Linked DNA regions of Drosophila melanogaster. Each later gene encodes a partner of the first gene's protein in a complex. Each region holds a gene or a part of one and is shown on either strand. Other genes may lie near its edges. A codon is read from its position in the direction of its gene.

Region 1 (9,343 bases):
CCAGCATATTAAGCCCGATTCCAAACTAAGCTCTTGCAGTTAGCGCGCTCAACTCGAACTGAACGGAGGTCCAAAAAAAAAGAAACGAGCAATCCAAAAAAAATCGAATAATTGAAAAATCCAAAATGAACCCACTAGGAATGTTGAGCCTGGGCTTAATGGTGTGCCTTATCGGCGCCTTCAGCCGGATTGCATCGGCCAAGCTGGAGGAGAAGTTCTCGTGGAAGCAACTGGCCTTCGATTGGCCCACTCCGGAGGCCGAGGCGGAGGCCAAGTCGAATGGCCACTACATCGTGGAGAACAACCTGCCGCTGGGCGTGGAGCGTTGGCAAAACAGAATCTTTGTCACTGTGCCAAGGTAAGTAACCAAATTCATAGACAAAAAAAAAAGAGACAACAAACTTACGGTAAGCTGTAGTTAGGTTTTCTTTTTTTTTCTTATTATTTACCTTTTTTGTTGGCTTGGTTTGTAATTAAATGTCAAGCTAGACTTGCAAAATCATCGAGCGTCAGGAGGGGAAACCGGTTTCCTCGCTGGCTAGTTAACTTTATCATTTTTTACCCCATTTGTGTATGTCTATTTTGCATTTTAAATCGTGGTTTCTAAATGCAAATCGTAACATGAGGTTAATTATAAATTAATAAGAGAAAACACATGATCGGAAAATTCTATGGAATATTATGGATCCCATAAAAGGCTAACTAGGTAACTAGTAAACAAAGTCTTTGTGACGTCACCTTTTTGGGATTTACCACCGATGCGCTTATTGGCCAAAAAGCCCCGAAAACCATTCTGCTTTTCGGGAGATATGAGTAATCAAAACAAAATTCGATTTAAAAACATTTCGAAAAATAAGATACGTAAAAAAAGTATATTTTGTTGATAATACAGCATAATTATTTAAGCTATAGTTGCCGTCAAAGTTTTAACTGATAGTGCTAAGATATAAATTAAAACTATAGCTTATATTAGACTATATCCAATCAGTCATAATAATTGCGCAGGTGAATGGTACTTTTTAATGTTATTAATTTGTTACTTGCCAGTGTCAGGTTTAAATGTAATTAGTAACTAAACAAGTCTGAAATGTAAATTTTTTAGTTAATTTATTTCTCCTCATTATTAAATGATCTACTTTCCCTTTAGATGGAAGGCTGGTGTTGCTGCCACACTCAACTACATCGACATTAATTCGACGGAGAAGTCGCCAAAGCTGCATCCGTATCCCAGTTGGGAGGCCAACAAGCTGCCCATCGATGTGCAGCCACAGGACCAAAAGACACCATCCGGTGGACGTCTGGACGCGGACAAGGCTCAAGATGCCGGCATCCAGCTGAAGGACAACTCCACTGTCATTTCCACCTTCCGAATTCAAGTCGACGTATGCGATCGCCTGTGGGTGCTCGATACTGGCTTGGCCGACATCCTGGGCAGTCCCAAGCAGATTACGCCCAATTCAATCCTGGTTTTCGACTTGAAAACAGATACTTTACTGCGCCGTTTCACCATTCCCGCTGATCAGACCAAAGAGGACTCGTTCTTTGCGAATATTGTGAGTATGCATAGGCGTATTATTTAAATTCCAAACTGATCGAATTAATCAATATTTAGGTTGTGGATGCGGACCGCTCGGAGTGCCAAGATGCCTTTGCTTACATTCCGGATTTGGGTGCCTACGGTGTGATTGTGTACTCCCTGAGGAACGACAAATCCTACCGCGTCAAGCACAACTTCTTCCACTTCGATCCTCTGCATGGTGATTTCAATGTGGGCGGCGTGAACTTCCAGTGGACGGATGGCGTTTTTGGGCTGGCCGTGGGCCCAATGAATCCAGATCACTCCAAGGACATTTATTTCCATGCCCTGGCCAGTACCAAGGAGTTCAAGGTTTCGAACCGCGTGCTGCAAAACGAATCACACGTGACCGCTGGCGATTCGTATTACGATTTTAAATACGTTGGTGACCGTGGCATGAATGGCCAGTCCACCGCCGAGGTCTTTGACCCCGAGACCGGCGTCATCTTCTATACGCAGGTGAACAAAGACGCCATTGCTTGTTGGAACATCAAGCGTCCATACACTCCGGACACCCAGGGGCTAATCGATTCCGATTCGCACACTCTGGTCTTTCCAAATGACATGAAAATCGACAATGAAGGCACTATTTGGGTGCTGTCCGACAAGATGCCGACATATTTGTACAAGGAACTCGATCCCTCGGCCGTCAACTATCGTATTTTGATGGGCCAGAACCGCGATCTCATCAAGGGTACACCATGCGAAATGTGATCACTTGGATATTTAAATCTACATGCTGTGTTTATGACGCGGTGCATTTTTGTATTTACATTATGACATTATTGTTTGTTAGTAAGTCAGCTTAATAAACTATTTGAAATGTGATTGATTGGGTATACCATGGTGAGCCTAAGTTAAATGTCGGATTTCAGGAGGTTGTCGGCCAGTTGCACCTTCTCACCGGGCTTAAAGGCGGGCATGCCCAAATAGGGGCAAGTGGAGCAGCGGAAGGCGTCGCCGAGATAACACTGTGCATATAAGAAATCAGTTATAATCGAGGTTAATGCTAACTCACATCGGGGTTAAGAGAACTCACATTTCCACAGCTTGACTTGGCATTCTCGGTGGCCTTCTGGCTCTGTTTTTCAGTCTCCAATTCCTCGGCCAGCCCGCAGGAGCAGTTTTTGCACGCCTTGCGCTTGCCCGTGGTGCTACAGACACGCAGACCAGCCGGATCCGGCTTCTGTTTGTCTTCCTCGTCCAGCAGCTCCTCCTCATCGATCAGTTCCTCATCGTCACCGCTTATCTTCCACACATTGACTGCACTGGCGTTCTTCTTTGCGAATGACAACCTGGCTGAGGATCCTGTCTCGTAGCCAGGCTTCTCGGCGGTCAAAGCATCTGGAGAGTCCTCGCGACAGTTTATGAATCCGGATAGCTTGATCTCCTGCAGCAAACTAGCCGCCGGACCGATGTAGGACACCAAATGCAGTTTGCCACTCGGTTTCAGCATGTGCAGCAGTTTTACGTAACTGTCGGTCAGCTGGGCGCACTCGATCACAATCAGGTCGAAACTGGAGTTGGCATAGGAAGCTGTAATGCATAAACATCACTGATTTTAATCTGCTGACTCACTGGCTAGTCAAAAACAGCACACACACACCGCACCGCACGCAACTTACAAAACGAAAGGCGGTGCACATTTTCCAAAGCCACATCGCCGCCAGTGGCCGCCTTTAGTTGCTCCACGCGCTTGTCCAAGTCGGCGCTGTCCGTCCATATGTATAGGGATTTTTGTAGACCCTTAAAGTTCTCCATTGTGGATGTGTTTCTAGAATATCTCAAAAGTTCAAGCACCGAACGGAACCGATTTTTGATTTCACAAGTTAGATATGGCAATGCACCGAAAATCGAGCGGTGATATCGATTGTACCTGCCTATCGGATTGCAAATGATATTCAGTGATTGTAGATTTTTCCACTTTACACTGTGACTGCTAAAATATATGAATAACTAAGTGTACTCCACCAGATTCGTTTTTTAATGAGTTACAGCTTACATTCTGATACATAATTAACAGCTTTTAGTTGCATATTGTGTGTTTCTGCCACTAAACCTATTTAAACGGTTACATTTAAGCCTAAAGTCGCGAATTATCTTTTAAATTCACCCATGTGTACTTTCCCACGGCCCGTTTTAAAAATGCATGGACAGTTAGACAAGAAGGTTGGTAGTTTGTACCTTGAATTTTAAATGTGGGCGCTCAAAATCGAAGTGTTCAATGAAAATCGATACCTTTCGCATCAGTTAAAAGTATTTATAGATATAAGAAATAATATCTTTAACAGTGATGTGATGGGAATAAATATACAAATGTATTCAGAAACTGCAAAGTTAAAACAAAATATATTAGCTACTCCAAATTGGCTATAAAATAACCAAATGCCCACTGCCATCCAAATCCAACCAACAGTGCTGTGAAGCGACAAACATATCGCCGGTAGGCAGCGACTATCATAAATAAGCGCCTATCGGACTATCGATACAACATCAACATCCTCAGTCGCTTTTTTAGTTGTAGCATATTATAAATATAACTCGAGCGCTAGTTGCAGCCTTAAACAGAAGCCAGCCGCCACTACCGCTAGTCGCTAGTCAAGATCTGCTCGAAACGCTGAAATATGTGTGATTAGTCGTGAATCGCAGCTAGCCGCAAATCCAGCTTGAGCTACAACAACAAAGCCAATCCGCGGTTAAGAGGAAGAGAGTGCGTGAGAGAAACGACAGCTGCTCTGCGTGTGTGTTTGTGCAGCAGGATAACAAAATAGAAAACATACAGCAGCAACAACAACAACAAAAACAGCACCAGCGAACAGTGTATAAAGTGCCAAACGAATTTGCCAAATAGCCAAAAACGAAATAATAGAAAAGATCCAAACAAAATTCCAATAAGTTCAATGCAAGGAGACATGTGCATAAATGAAGAGCTACAGCCAATTTAATTTAAACGCCGCCGCCCCGCCCGCCATTGCCTACGAAACTACGGTTGTAAATCCCAACGGCTCACCCCTCGATCCTCACCAGCAGCAGCAACAACAGAGCCAGGATATGCCGCACTTTGGACTGCCCGGTCCGCAGCCGCCGTCGTCGCAGCAGCAGCAACAACAATTGCAAGTGCACCACCAACAGCAGCAGCAGCAGCAACAACAACAACAACAACAGCAGCATCAACAACAAATGCAGATGTCCTTGCTGCCGGGTCCTTACCGGCCACACATCGAGGAGAAGAAGCTCACGCGGGACGCCATGGAGAAGTACATGCGCGAGCGCAACGACATGGTCATCGTTATCCTGCACGCCAAGGTACGAAAGGATTTCCACTTTTAAGCCGGTATTATCAGGTGCTTGGTCTGGATTTAGTATTCAAGATATTCTAAAACATACAAGGGAACTCCTGAGTCTTAAGTCTTAATTAAATTATTTGAAGCTTGAAATACATTATTTCAATATTACTAAAAATATATTAACCCAAACTGGAGAAACGTAGGATATCCTAACTTTCATTTAAATTAGAAACTTGGTCAGTTTTGTACGTCGATTTCCTAAATTATTCGATTTTTTAGATTAAATAGATTAAATTCAGATTTTCTTTCTATTTCAAGTTTAACGATGTATCCTTTCTTTGAAAATTACTTGTATGCTTTACAAGATATTTATTTTTTTTTTATAATTTAGTTTTAATCTAATCGGTCAGTCCGCAACGCCAAAACCACACCCACTATTTAAAGGTGCTAGTGTTTCCATTGTCCACTTTAAAGTGTTACATTTTTGCGGTTTTTGGCGAACGCAGACATGAAAATGGAATAAAATTGTCGCGGTTGCTTTTAGCGGTGGCGATCTTCAAGCGACGACTGCCGCCAAATGGGAATCCTTCACACTCGACTGCCCGCAAATTGAGCAACGCGAGCGCGGTCCAGTCCGCAATGAAAATAATTGAAATTAATTACAGAAAATTAACAAAGCTGCATTGCTTGCGGTTTTGATATGATTTTCCGATAATCTGGACGGCAATTTGTACTAATTGAATTTTCCCTGCACCATCGTGCGCCTCTGTCTGTCTGTCTGTGTGAATTCCAGGTGGCCCAAAAGTCCTATGGCAATGAGAAGCGATTCTTTTGCCCACCGCCGTGCATTTATCTGTTCGGAAGTGGCTGGCGCCGGCGGTACGAGGAGATGTTGCAGCAGGGCGAGGGCGAACAGGGAGCACAACTATGCGCGTTCATCGGTATCGGGAGCAGTGACCAGGATATGCAGCAGCTGGATCTCAATGGCAAGCAGTACTGTGCGGCCAAGACGCTCTTCATCTCGGACTCGGACAAGCGAAAACACTTTATGCTGTCGGTGAAGATGTTTTACGGAAACGGTCATGACATTGGCGTTTTTAACTCGAAACGGATCAAGGTTATATCCAAGCCGTCCAAAAAGAAACAGTCGCTAAAGAATGCCGATCTGTGCATAGCCAGCGGCACCAATGTAGCCCTGTTCAATCGCCTGCGTTCCCAGACTGTCTCCACCCGTTACCTTCACGTGGAGAACGGACACTTTCATGCGTCGTCAACACAATGGGGAGCTTTTACGATACACCTGCTGGATGACAATGAGTCCGAGTCGGAGGAGTTTCAGGTGCGCGATGGTTACATTCATTACGGAGCCACAGTCAAACTGGTGTGCTCCGTAACGGGCATGGCCCTGCCACGTCTGATCATCCGGAAGGTAGACAAGCAGATGGCCCTGCTGGAAGCCGACGATCCCGTTTCTCAGCTGCACAAATGCGCCTTCTACATGAAGGATACGGATCGGATGTATCTCTGTTTGTCGCAGGAGAAAATCATACAGTTCCAGGCCACGCCGTGCCCCAAGGAGCCGAACAAGGAGATGATCAATGACGGCGCCTGCTGGACCATCATATCCACCGACAAGGCTGAGTACCAGTTCTACGAGGGCATGGGTCCTGTGGCGTAAGTATAGCTTACTTACAACTCAATGGATTAGTTTTCATTTCGTGTTTTCTTCCAGTTCTCCAGTCACTCCAGTGCCAATCGTTAATTCCCTTAATCTCAATGGCGGCGGGGATGTGGCCATGCTAGAGCTGAGTGGCGACAACTTTACGCCGCATCTGCAGGTGTGGTTTGGCGATGTGGAGGCGGAAACCATGTACCGCTGCACAGAGACATTGCTATGCGTGGTGCCGGAGATTTCACAATTTCGAGGCGAATGGCTTTGGGTAGGTTTTCCAATGTAAATCTGTTTAATACGCGCTATAAATTTTACTTTTAATGGTCCTTGCAGGTACGTCAGCCCACGCAGGTGCCCATTTCGCTGGTGCGCAACGATGGAATAATTTATGCCACCGGTCTGACCTTCACGTATACACCTGAACCAGGTCCTCGGCCGCACTGCAATACACAGGCCGAGGATGTGATGCGAGCGCGACAGAACAATAACAATAATAACATCACTAGCATTAGCAACAATAATAACAGCAACAATGCGGGATCGCCGGCAGCCGGCGGTGGCTTGCAACAACAACAGCAGCAGCATCAGGCTCTGCCCTCCATCTCAGAAGTGCAATGGAATAGTCATGGTAGCGGCTTATCCTGAGTGCAGGATTATTGCATCGCACACATATGTATCCTAAGTTATTTATAGTTTTTATCGAAGACCTTAGTTTGTAGATTGACAATTTTTCTCATACTAATTTTCAACCCCTCGTGACGTAAACCAAAATGTGTCCCCTTCTCTCTAAAGTGAATCATACTTTACACATGTATCTAGTGCTAGTTCGGAACCAATAGAATTGTAAATGACACATAAAACTCTGTACATAACTCGAAAAGCTCACTGACATACATACATACATTTGTATGTGCATGAATATACCTTTACACAAAACATGTAATTCTAGTTAAATATACAATTGATGTAAGTTTATAGACGATTTTTAGATGCGGTTGAAATATTTATGATTTTCTTTGCTATGAATTTCCAAAGATCTAAATGAAAAAAAAAAATACTGCGAAATGCATCGGAAATTTTTATTATACACAAGCCAGTAGCCACGCTACAAAAACATTCCATTTCCCTCTTTAGCTTTCTAAAAAGTCGAAGACAAAGTCAAAAAGGGAAAAATTTGTTTCTGTACATACAGTTTTGTTGCATTTTTTTATTAACTTTGGAAATTCGTAGCATTAAAAATCCCAATAAAATATTTTGTAAAATAAAATCGCAACAAGACAAAACAGCGATTTATTTAAGTGTAAGCGAAATGCCTAACATAAATAAAAAAAAGAAATCCCAAATGATGACAAAGAATAATCAAATCATGTCAGCTTATGTTTTTGGTTTAGCGTGATTCTTCTGGTTCACCATTTTTCCTGTGGCCTAAGGTGGAGCGCTGGGGAGGATTGGTTGCCTTAAATTGCTGTGGGAATATTACCCAGTATCGTGTGAATATTTTTAAACAAAACAAGTGCAGCTCTTCCCACGATGGTTTGCCTCAACCCCCTCGGACGGGCCGACTTTAATTATAGTTTGGTCTGGAATTGCTGAACGCGAAGCTAAGAAGCAAATATACATAGATATATAACACTATTGTTTCCGTTTTGGCCAAGTTAAGGAGCAGAATATTCTCACAGCCCAAAAAGCCGCTGCCGAGCTGCTGTGAGAATTTTTACTGCCTTTGTTGAATATTTATGCATTCGTTGCTGCTGCTGTCTTTACAGATTTACAAATTAAGATTCGCAGTTTTGAATTAATTATCGCTCACTTCCGCTCGACGGAATCAGAAGGTGAGCGCTGGCCAAGCATTTAATCTCATCTTGCACTTGGGAGACATATTTCTTATCAGAGTCAGCCAATAGGAACTTGGCTGCAACCCCTAAGATTTTACTGCACCGGGCGATGGGAACGAAAGACTTAAACAACGAACTTTGGTTGCGTGAGGAATCAAACTACTGGCGGCCGCCTGTGTTCATTATGATGGAAAAACCACCACCAAAAGTTCTGGCTCTGGCAATTGGAACTGCAACCTCTTAAGGTCGTCGCCGTCTTATAAGAAGCTGAATATGAAATTAGTTTGGAATTTTTAATGAACAATTCCTTCACATTTCCCCAGGCCCTCTTTCTCCACCACTGTTTGGATAGGCGAGTGCGATGATTGTGGTCGTTTTTAGAAAGGGGGAGACAGCAATTTCTAAAAGTTCTCAGGACTGCTACACAACCTCATACCGTCTACTAAAAAAGTTCATTATCTTGAAAAATCTAAGTCTACCTGCCGTCGTCTTTAGTCTTTAGCTTGCCGTGCCGACTGCTGCCGTTTTTCACACGCTGGGGAAAAATGGAAATTCTCGCAAAATACAATGCGTGGGAAATCGGTGGCGTGGGAGTCAGGCAAGAAAATCAAGGGAAACTATATAATCCAGTCCTATAAAAATTTGTATTCACAAGACTTTGGACACGTACTCCCTTCCATGCGCGGTAAATCCAAAGCCGTAGGTCAAGATTGGTAAATCGATGGCAAAATCGATCGGATTTTCAAAGTTTATAGGGGTCGGTCGTAACCGTTACTTCAACTTGTTTAGTTCCATTGTTGTTACTTAACAAAGATATTTATATAAGACTAATTATTTTATTTATTAATGACTTTAATGAACTATTAACACTTGTGCTTACACAGCATTTTTTGTCTAAAATAGATTGGTTTGTTCTATACGAACCCATTTTCAAGACTTGTCACAAGCATTTGTTCAAGTTAAGTGTTATTAA
Region 2 (9,343 bases), on another chromosome or scaffold:
AGGCGAGAATTGGAGGCTTGCAGCAGTAGGAGCAGCAGAGTAGTCGCCAGCAGAGCATATGCCACATTTCCGGCCAGCTGCAGGAGAAATTCCATAAGACTGCTCATCTGACAGAGGTCCGCCTTCCGCCTTCTTCTCAAATTCTGGAGACGGAAGACAGCAGCTGCAAAGGCCAGCAAAAGGAGCAGCGGCAGCGCCACCTCCAAGATCAACCAATCCCAACCACGTTTTACTTGGTCGTAGCTAATCCTCAGGGTGAATGGGTACAGTTGGGAGAGCGATATATTTCCCGATCCCATCTCTATGTGTCGGTATCGCAGGCGAATGAGCGGCAGACCCACTCTATCCGGCTGATCCTTGTCCAGCGTATAACGAATTTCGATGTCCTCCACATATCGTAAGGAGTAATATTGCTGCAGCTTGTGGGCATCCTCGTAGCGCGGCATGGTCTGGTGAAGATGACTATCCCGCGGCGAGGCGGAGATCAGCTGGAAACGTTTCACCAACTGCCACTCCTCCTGCTGGGGTCGCTGGACAGATGAAGAAATTACGGAACTGAGATTAAGTTCTATCTAATTGAGTACATCACACTCCTCACCTGGTTTTCCGGCGTCAGGGTCTCGATGAGTACAGGTAACTGGTGAAGCAAATACTGCCAGTTACTACTGAAGTTTAGAAACACGGTGAGAAACTCGGCGTTGTGCCGTTGGTTGGCCAGGTCAATGAGACGCTCTAGGGTCAGCTGACAAGATACCTCCGACTCCCTCTTGGGTAGAGCCACTCGGAGGCTAGGCGCCTTCTGTTGGCACATGTTCAGCATCTCCGGATGAAAGGCACCCCACCGTTTGAGTCCGCCATCTAGACCAAATGTGGTGCTAAAAAGGCGCAGCTCCTTGCGATCCGGCAGCTGAAGCGTCTTCGAAAGCAGCTCCTTGGTAGCCCGACCCTTCTTGTAGAACAGGAACGGCTGCAGGGATCGCACCTGTTCGCCGGAGTGGGCATACTTCATGACCACATCAGAGACCTGGGTAAGCAGGAAGGCGCTGCAGGGCGAGTGCTTTTCCAGGGAGAAATGGGAAAGCACGCACAGATTGGCCAGTTGCTGGCAGGCGGTATCGTTGCGCAGTGTCAGGCAAAAGAAGGCCACAAACTTGAGCTCACCAAAGCGGCTGGGTGCACTTGAATCCGGCGTGGTTGTCGCCTGCCAGAAGGCGTTGTAGTGCACATACGGTCGGAGCAGGGTGCTAGCCAAGCAGAAGTCCTGATACCGGAAATTGTGCGTCATATCGCAGGAATGGCAATCTCCCGCTCTGCTCATCGGATTTGTATGGGTCAGTATGATGCCGGAAATGAGTGGATGCACTGGCAACTGACTGGCGAAGGCTGCCGTGGAGTTCAGATACCGATAGCTGCACTGATTGGTAGGTCGAGGCTGGGGTAGCCACACCGAAGTGCAATTGTCGCTCCTGTCCGGAGTGCAAATCTCATCGCAGGTGGGCCACGTCTTGCCGCGCTCATAGATGGACAGATGACCAGCCGGGCACTTGCAGGTGAATTCTGGGTGGGCAATAAACAAGAAGCAGGTGAATTCTGGGTGGGCAATAAACAAGAAGCTTTTATTTCAGTAACATAGTAAAACTTTCTTCTAACCATACGAATGCATATCCTATATTCATAGATCTATCATATGATCAAGGATTGAAAATGTATATAAACTAATCTATTCATTTTGTCACAATTATCAATCATTTTAAGATATTATATATATAAAAACAGTATACAACTTTCAATTCAATTCAAAGCGAAACTAAAAAGTTTATCTTGTTTTTTTTTTGTATAAATACCCCTAAAACGAGTTTTAGTTTTCTTACACAACAATGTCCTTATTATCTGCACTATTTATACATATTTTAAATAACTGATTACAAATACTTTACTTATTAAATCAAACAACAGGAAATCGTTGAGGAAATCTATTAAGAATACCAATAGTTTAATTTATATTAGTTCGAAATATTAAAAATATATTAATATATTAATATTAAAAATTGTTTGATTATAGTATTTCCTCTTCGAGATCGTCAAAATAAAATTTGTGTGAAGTTTGCAAATTGTGCTAAGTGACAAATACTGATGTGAATAAATCTTAAGTATTCGAGGTCTGTGACCTATAAAAAATATATTAATCGCAAAAAGCCTTGTCGCTTTCAATGACAAAACCTTAAACCAATAAAATGTTTAAATAACCGAATATTAAATTTGGTATATACAATATTACAGCTCTTTTGCAGCTGAAAATGAATACTTTCTCTTGAGTAGCATGCAGGTCCTTGCCCCTTCACATGGCACCCCTTTTGGTTCTGTTTGATCAATACTACCACTCACTGTCGGGTTGCAGTTTTCCTTGAACCCCATCTCCGCCGGCGACCTCATTGCAGGGCACACAGTCGAATAGGTTGAGGTTGTAGAACTCGTTCTTGAGGCACTGCGTCGGATTCTGGAAGCGAAAAGTGTGCGGCGTTGGCAGCTGCGAGGGATTTGTGGCCGCGGTGGTCAGCGAGCAGATGGGCACTGGAATTTGTAAGGCGATCCAGAAAAGAGCACAACACCAGTTGATAGCCCGGGAGAAGCACCTCATCCTCATCCTCATCCTGTTCTGATTTTAGGAGTCGCTGCTCGCTCTTCAATATTCGAAAGGGTACTGAATTCCCTGGAGCGATTGCAGCTGCAATTTGGAAGTCGCCCAGGAAGGCAAGTAAACAAGTGGACTCGTGGAGGGAGTGGTGTTGCTATAGCTACCCAACCCCCCGATTTTCGCCGGGCACGCATGCAAAATGGCCATTATCCGGAGGGTTGGCTCAGGTGCTTACTCCCTCTCGGCCGAATGTCCTTTGACCAGGAGGCCACCTTAAGTGTAATGAGTCCTCGAGACTTTTTACCTGCTGGGTTTCCTTTCATATTCCAGCACTTGCGTGCTCAAAATTGTGATTGCCATCATTATTAGTTACTTTCTTAGGATTTTGCATACAATTTGTAGGTATGTAAATTAGCAAGGACTATTTTAGAAATTAAATCCTACGTAAAGGAATTATTTGTTGGGTTACTTAATTAATTATTCTCTCTAAAGAGACCATTTGTATAGTCAATTCTTTTGCACTTCTACGTTTTTAAATGGGTTTGAATGGTTTTTGCAAAAATTAAATTAGTAAGATAATAATAAATAAAAAATAAAAATAAATAATTCAGATTGTATAATAAGCTAAATCGCTTTTACAATTATTTTCCTATATTATTTATTTTTTCAATTCACTTCTAAAATATAACTTTTTTAATGTGGTAGCTATAGGATATAATATAATATAAGCTCATACTAATCATTATATTTGTATTTAAAAAACAAATAGATTTCAAGCACACTTTTTTATTAGCTTAAAAAAGAATATTTGGCAGTTAGATGCATTAGAATTTGAGCTCTGCGAAAGCTAAGACTATTGGCTGTACTAATCAAATCTTAAACAGTTGCAAAAAAATATCTATATGCCTTAAGTAAATTTTTAAGCGCATTAACAATGTTTATGTTTATGTTTATACGCCAACAAATGTTAAATTATTTGCTTATGTATATGAAAGTCGGGCATAAAGCTGTCTGTCGTTTTTAGAGCTTTTGGCCGCGACGTGCGACGGTCACACTGATGGCCTCCCCCACTTCTTCCTTGCAAGGACAACACAATTAGGCGGCGGACACATACAGTTTTTTTCCCCCGATCCGTGGCCGCCAGTTAGCCCAGTCTCGTCCCCCGACCGACGAGTGATTCCCGACAGCAACCGTTGGTCATTCGAATCCAGGATGCTGCACTGGCGCCGCACAGATTAGATATTCGCAGTCCCAGACGAAAATGAACAATTTGGTAAGTGGGCGGTGACGGCGGTGGCAGTGGAGGTAGCAGGGCTCGATTTCAAGCTCAGATCTTGGGTGTCTCTGTTTCCGATTGTGTGAACTAATCACTGCGATCCTTGCAGGAGCACTCCAAGCATTTCTATCCTGATAACTACAAATTGGATCTGTCTGAGACCATGAAGGCGGCTCTGTCCAAAGGACCCGGTGGTGGTGCCGGTGGCGGGGGCGTGGCAGGCGGAGATATGCTGCCGCAGCCAAATGCTGGAATGCCAGGAGTGGGCTATGTTACGGAAAAGCTGTACATGCTGCTGCAGCTGTATCTGCAGAACAAAGGCTGGAATCCCAGTGCTGAGCTGCTGCAGTGCTTCAGCGATCTCAAGGACAATGCCATGCTGCCCAGCGCCGCCTATCTGCAGTAAGTAGGGGTTGTGGGTTTTTTCAGATCCGTTCTCATAACTTCCTCGTTTGCAGAGTCCTGGCCAACCGCTTAACCCTGGACTCCCAGGGACGGCTAATACTGCGCGACAATGGAAAGATTGTCTTGCCCTTTGAGCATTTTGCCAATGCGGTCATGCTAAAGCACATGTCAGGTCCGCACGGCCTGCACCTTAGTGTCGATGCCACGGTGAGGGCAGTCATTGAGTCGTACACCATCGGTCGGGATCAGTTCGGCATGGAGAAAGAGTTCATCATCGAGGTGGTGCAGTCCTGCCCAAGTCCCGCATGTCGCTACTATAAAAACCACATGGGAATTTCGCCCATGCCGTTCATGGAGCAGCAGTATCCGGGCGTAAACACTCCCGAGTTCCTGCAGCGCTTGGCGCATCTGCCGCCTGGGGGAGCAGCCGGATCTGGGCCAGGAGGCTCCGCAGCCGGATCCACCTCCAGCGTGGCAAGCAGCTCGAGTTCGGCGAACGTGGAAATCGATCTGTCCAAGTCGACGGGCGCGAAGGTGCCCCAGGTGCCGGTGCCGCCGCAGTTGCAGCACCTGACCAAGCAGCAGCAGAGCACTCTCCAGACGCAGCTCTCCCAGATCAGTGCTGCCGCCGCTCATCATCAACAACAACAACAGCAGCAACAACAGCAACAGCAGCAGCAGCAGCAACAACAACAGCAAGCAGCAGCCAAGCACCAGCAGCAATTGACTGCTGCCCTCATCCAACAGCAAAACCGTGTCCTCGCCCAGCAAAATTTAGAGAAGCTTAGCAACCACCTCAGTCCGCTGGAAAAGCAGCGAGTTTTCGCCCAGCTGGATCCAAAGCACTTTGATCCCATGGCCGTTGCGGCTGCAGCCGCCAATCTTCAAATCCAAGGCCTGATGCAATCGCAGGCAGTGGCTGCCGCCGTCGCCGCCAATCAGCAGACTCCGGCGGCTACGACTACATCTGCTGCAGGAGGAGCTGCAGCCGGCCCGCAGGCCCATCACGGACACCATCCCTTGCCACCGCCATCGCAGTCGCCACACTCATCCTCTTCGTCTTCCTCTCATTCCTCGTTGGACCAGATTACCCACAAGAACGTCGCCGACTCCTTGCGGTGGGTGAGATTTATTAGATATTATTATTTTAAATTCTTTTTCTTGGCAAAACATGTGTACAAAGACTTATTTTTTTATTAAAACAAACAAAAAATATTGTATGTATTTGATAAGTAACGAATTAGGTTGTTTACAATATTATTTATTATTTGCTATATGTAAAGTAAATTGATCACTTTTAAATGTTTGCTTTAGGCCCTTAATTGAATTCATTTAACTTTTCCGATTTCAGTTCCAATCTGGACTCAATAGAATCGAATAAGGATCTGCTGGCGCTGCACAACGGAGCCTGGGCCACCGGCGATGCCAATCGAATGGATCACTTGGCCGTGGGTCAGGACAAGATAGTGCGCATCTTTGCGGAGCTGATGCGAAACATGTCGCGGATGAAAACCTACATACGTCCCTCGATGTGCAAGCCCTACGGCAAGCAGAGTGAGAGTCTGCAGAAAAGTGAGTACCTTGGCTGGGAACCGGTTTCGCTATCTGCGATGCTGACCGCCTCCTGCTTGCTCGTTCTCTTCCCCGACAGCCCTCATGGACACCATTCAGATCGTGCAGACGCTGCGCAACTGCCTCCCAGCTCCTCACATACCCGTGTCGTCCTGGAAAAGTGAGAGCGAGGGCAACGTGGGATCAGGAGTGAGCGCGGGAGTAGGAGTGGGTGTCCCTGCAGGACTTAACCTGGGCGCCGCCTTGGGTCTGCCATCGGGCAACATGCACTAGATGCGGGCTGGAGCTCATCGGGTAGCATGCAATAGCTCCGGATTTATCCACTCACATTCTTCCAGCAGTTAGAGAACACTTAGTACTTACACGCAGAGAAAAGCATAGATGATAGGCATAGCAATTTACCCTCGTAGGCGTGGCTCCAGTTTTCCTTTTAGCAATTACGTGCCATGTTCAACACAAGACTTGATTTCACATTTTCCACATTTGACTGACCTTTAGGCATACATATGTATCGAATCCCGCGGCTTGAATTTGATTCCCATCACTCTTTGTTTTCCAGTTTGGCATGCAAAATTATGAAGCAAATCGGCAAATTAGTTAAACAATTGGCAAAACGTCTGTGATATTTGAATTATGTTGGCAAACGGAAGACAAAACTAAATTTAATTTATTACGTTGTGTGCCCTCTGTTGTAATGTCTTACTTTTTACTTTGTGCAATATCTACTAAGCATATATTCTTAGCCGTTCTCGTGCAATCGACGACTTTTCGCCCATATCAAAAGCAACTCGAATGTAGCCTATACTTAAACTAACCTACTGATAATCGGACATGATAGACGCGTAAGACTTACATTATATTTTGCATTAGGACTTCAGAGTATCTGAATAACAATTGGCGGATGGCCGCGGTGGCGAAAGCGACATTACGAGTTGTGTTTAAATTTAAGAAGCTGAAGAAGGGTTGTACTCCGCATGCAAGGGCTATTTAAATATATATTTTAACCCGCCCGAGCTCACCATTACCAGAAATTCGATAAACGAGCAAACAGTATTATACGCAATAAAAAGACACCTGCAACCATAAGTATTTACCTAGCTGATGTGTGGGAATTTATCGTAACATACCATATTATCGCTTAATGTTTAACTTCTGGACTTAATAATAAATAAATATTTTATTCTACGACAAAGAAGAACTTTTCAATGTAACATTATTAACTGCTTTAAGTCATATCCTTAAACTTTCGCCTTGAAAATCTTTAAAACCCTACAGGTATTCCAAATTAATAATCTCAGGTGCTAGAAATTTAATTAATATATTTTGGAAACAGCATAAATTAGTGAAAATACAACATTGTTTTAATCAAACATTTTTAAAAGCATGTTTTCGGTTGCAAAGTTTTCCAATTTCAATCCTGAAATTAAAGTTGAGTTGAACAATTGCTATAAAAAGCGACCATTTATTACGTTTTATAAACTGTCCCGATTGTGATTTTAGTTGTTTATTTTATTTCATATTTAAAACCGTTACTATTTTAAAAATCGTTCGCTAAAGATTGTGCTTTTAAGCATTGATAACTATCGCTAATTGCCAGAATTCGTAATCTTATTTGACTTGAATTGTAAAAATATAGGATTTAGGATTTTTACCAAATAGATGTAGTTCAAAGAACACAATTCTTTTTATTATTAAGCATTTTATTTTGGGAGTTCCTTGCACTAGCTTTTTGCAGCGACCTGTGTGTAAGCTTACATTGAGATAACATTAATGTGAACGTGCAGCGAATGCAGCACTATAACATTGGCCAGTGGAAACATGATATTTGCTAGCATGCTGACTGGCGCCGTGGATTTTGACGTTCTTAGTTGACGGTCACACAGCGCACCGAGCTGCGTTTTTCGTTGATAATTTTTAAATTTATTTATTAGTTTATTGGTTGGAAATAGAGCTGCCCCCAACTGCCCGCTGACCACGGAATTATCGGTCCGGTCCACCGACCTCCGCTTTCACACACTATTCGGCAATCGATATATACGCTGACGGTAATTGGAGAACGTTTTTTCCATTTTATCTCCACCTTGTCCGCACTTCGTTTTGTGCTCTCTTTGTGCGCTGCCTCCGCTTAACATTTGGGCCTGTAAGAAACACATATAAGCAGAACGGCCCGCCGTGTGTGCCTGTGAAATTGGTTAAATAACGTACAGTGGAATGGGCCAATGGCCAAAATGCAATAAGAATATGTGTGTGCAATAAAAATAGGGAACGGTACCGTGCCCCAAAACATGAAAATGGTGCTAGACGCTCCTAACGCCGTGCCGAGCTGGCATATTTTGCTTAGCGACGCCGTCGGCTCCGTTTTTCCCGGCCGCGAACTTTGCGCGAGGAATTTACAACAAAAACAATGAATTAAATGGTATTTAAATTGTCCATATAATGCGGTTTGGAAATGCGAAATTGTGCCTAACTTGCCCAATGCAAACGAATGTTTCTCTTTGAAGGCCCTGCTTAATGACGTCACAAGCGTAGCAGAGTGCAACAGACAGACAACAATGACCGATGAGCATAAAAGTAACATTAACAGTAACAGCAGTCACTCCAGCAACAACAACAACAACGGCAGCAGCAGCAATAACGACAACAACAGCAACGACGACGCAGCAAGTAGCAGCAACAGCAAAAACAACAACACCAGCAACGAGAGCAGCCACAGCAACAACAATACTAGTAGCATAATTGCAGAGGCGGCCGCCAAGTTTCTACTGAAAAATGGCCTAAACGGCAGTAGCAGCACCAGCTACCCCCCTCTGCCACCGCCTCTGCCCGCCAACTTAAGCAGGACGACCACGCCCACGACAACGACAACGCCCTCATCCTCCAGCTCCACCGCCTCAAATGGCTTTTTGCCGCATGCCAAGACGCCCAAAAGTAGTAGCATTATGGCTGCGTCCGCCGCAGTGGCAGCCAGCGTCGTTGGAGCTACTGCGTCCAAGCCCACCATCGATGTCCTGGGGGGCGTCCTGGACTACAGTTCCTTGGGCGGAGCTGCAACAGGCTCACTGCCCACCACTGCAGTAGTAGCGGCGGCAGCGGGAACAGCGAAGATCGGCAAGGGAAGCAACTCCGGCGGAAGCTTTGATATGGGCAGGACACCAATATCGACGCACGGCAACAACAGCTGGGGCGGCTACGGTGGTCGTTTGCAGTTCTTTAAAGGTAAGTATCTTGGTTTATTTATACCGAATCAGAGCAGTGTAAAGAAAACCATTTTTTAACTATTCTGCGTAGATGGCAAATTCATATTGGAACTGGCGCGGTCCAAGGATGGCGATAAAAGCGGCTGGGTTTCGGTCACGCGCAAGACCTTCCGCCCTCCATCGGCGGCCACCTCCGCAACTGTGACCCCAACGTCGGCGGTGACCACAGCGTATCCAAAGAACGAGAATTCCACATCG

What was found.
Region 2: the proteins of Su(H) (region 1) and H are in contact, whole or in part, in a crystal structure (PDB 5E24), measured with the Drosophila melanogaster proteins. Residues at the interface, in NP_001285948.1 of Drosophila melanogaster: Val431, Leu434, Asn435, Leu436, Ala443, Leu445, Phe460, Val479, Glu481, Ile482, Arg486, Trp489, Gln497, Ile500, Thr512, Gly513, Leu514, Thr515, Phe516, Thr517, Tyr518, Thr519, Pro520, Glu521, Pro522; in NP_732533.1 of Drosophila melanogaster: Gly232 (codon at 9,080), Gly233 (codon at 9,083), Arg234 (codon at 9,086), Leu235 (codon at 9,089), Gln236 (codon at 9,092), Phe237 (codon at 9,095), Phe238 (codon at 9,098), Lys239 (codon at 9,101), Asp240 (codon at 9,104), Ile244 (codon at 9,188), Leu245 (codon at 9,191), Leu247 (codon at 9,197), Arg249 (codon at 9,203), Trp258 (codon at 9,230), Val259 (codon at 9,233), Ser260 (codon at 9,236), Arg263 (codon at 9,245).

Annotation. Positions count from the first base shown.
Region 1 is NT_033779.5:15,035,439-15,044,781, forward strand, and holds Su(H) (suppressor of hairless), read left to right. Parts: upstream 1-4,049; 5' UTR 4,050-4,498; coding exon 4,499-4,882; intron 4,883-5,656; coding exon 5,657-6,537; intron 6,538-6,595; coding exon 6,596-6,803; intron 6,804-6,868; coding exon 6,869-7,180; 3' UTR 7,181-7,896; downstream 7,897-9,343. Other genes in the region: yellow-c, read left to right, coding at 126-358, 1,148-1,553, 1,613-2,290; CIAPIN1 (cytokine induced apoptosis inhibitor 1), read right to left, coding at 2,434-2,547, 2,616-3,112, 3,202-3,337. UniProt on the Drosophila melanogaster protein: Transcriptional regulator that plays a central role in Notch signaling, a signaling pathway involved in cell-cell communication that regulates a broad spectrum of cell-fate determinations.
Region 2 is NT_033777.3:20,614,195-20,623,537, forward strand, and holds the start of H (hairless), read left to right. Parts: upstream 1-7,743; 5' UTR 7,744-8,301; coding exon 8,302-8,304; exon of another isoform or gene 8,305-8,389; coding exon 8,390-9,104; intron 9,105-9,176; coding exon 9,177-9,343. Other genes in the region: CG15923 (uncharacterized protein), read right to left, coding at 1-530, 599-1,557, 2,386-2,650; CG5466 (uncharacterized protein), read left to right, coding at 3,897-3,908, 4,021-4,313, 4,370-5,434, 5,668-5,888, 5,968-6,161. UniProt on the Drosophila melanogaster protein: Is a potent antagonist of neurogenic gene activity during sensory organ development. The expression of distinct cell fates by the trichogen (shaft) / tormogen (socket) sister cell pair depends on the level of H activity.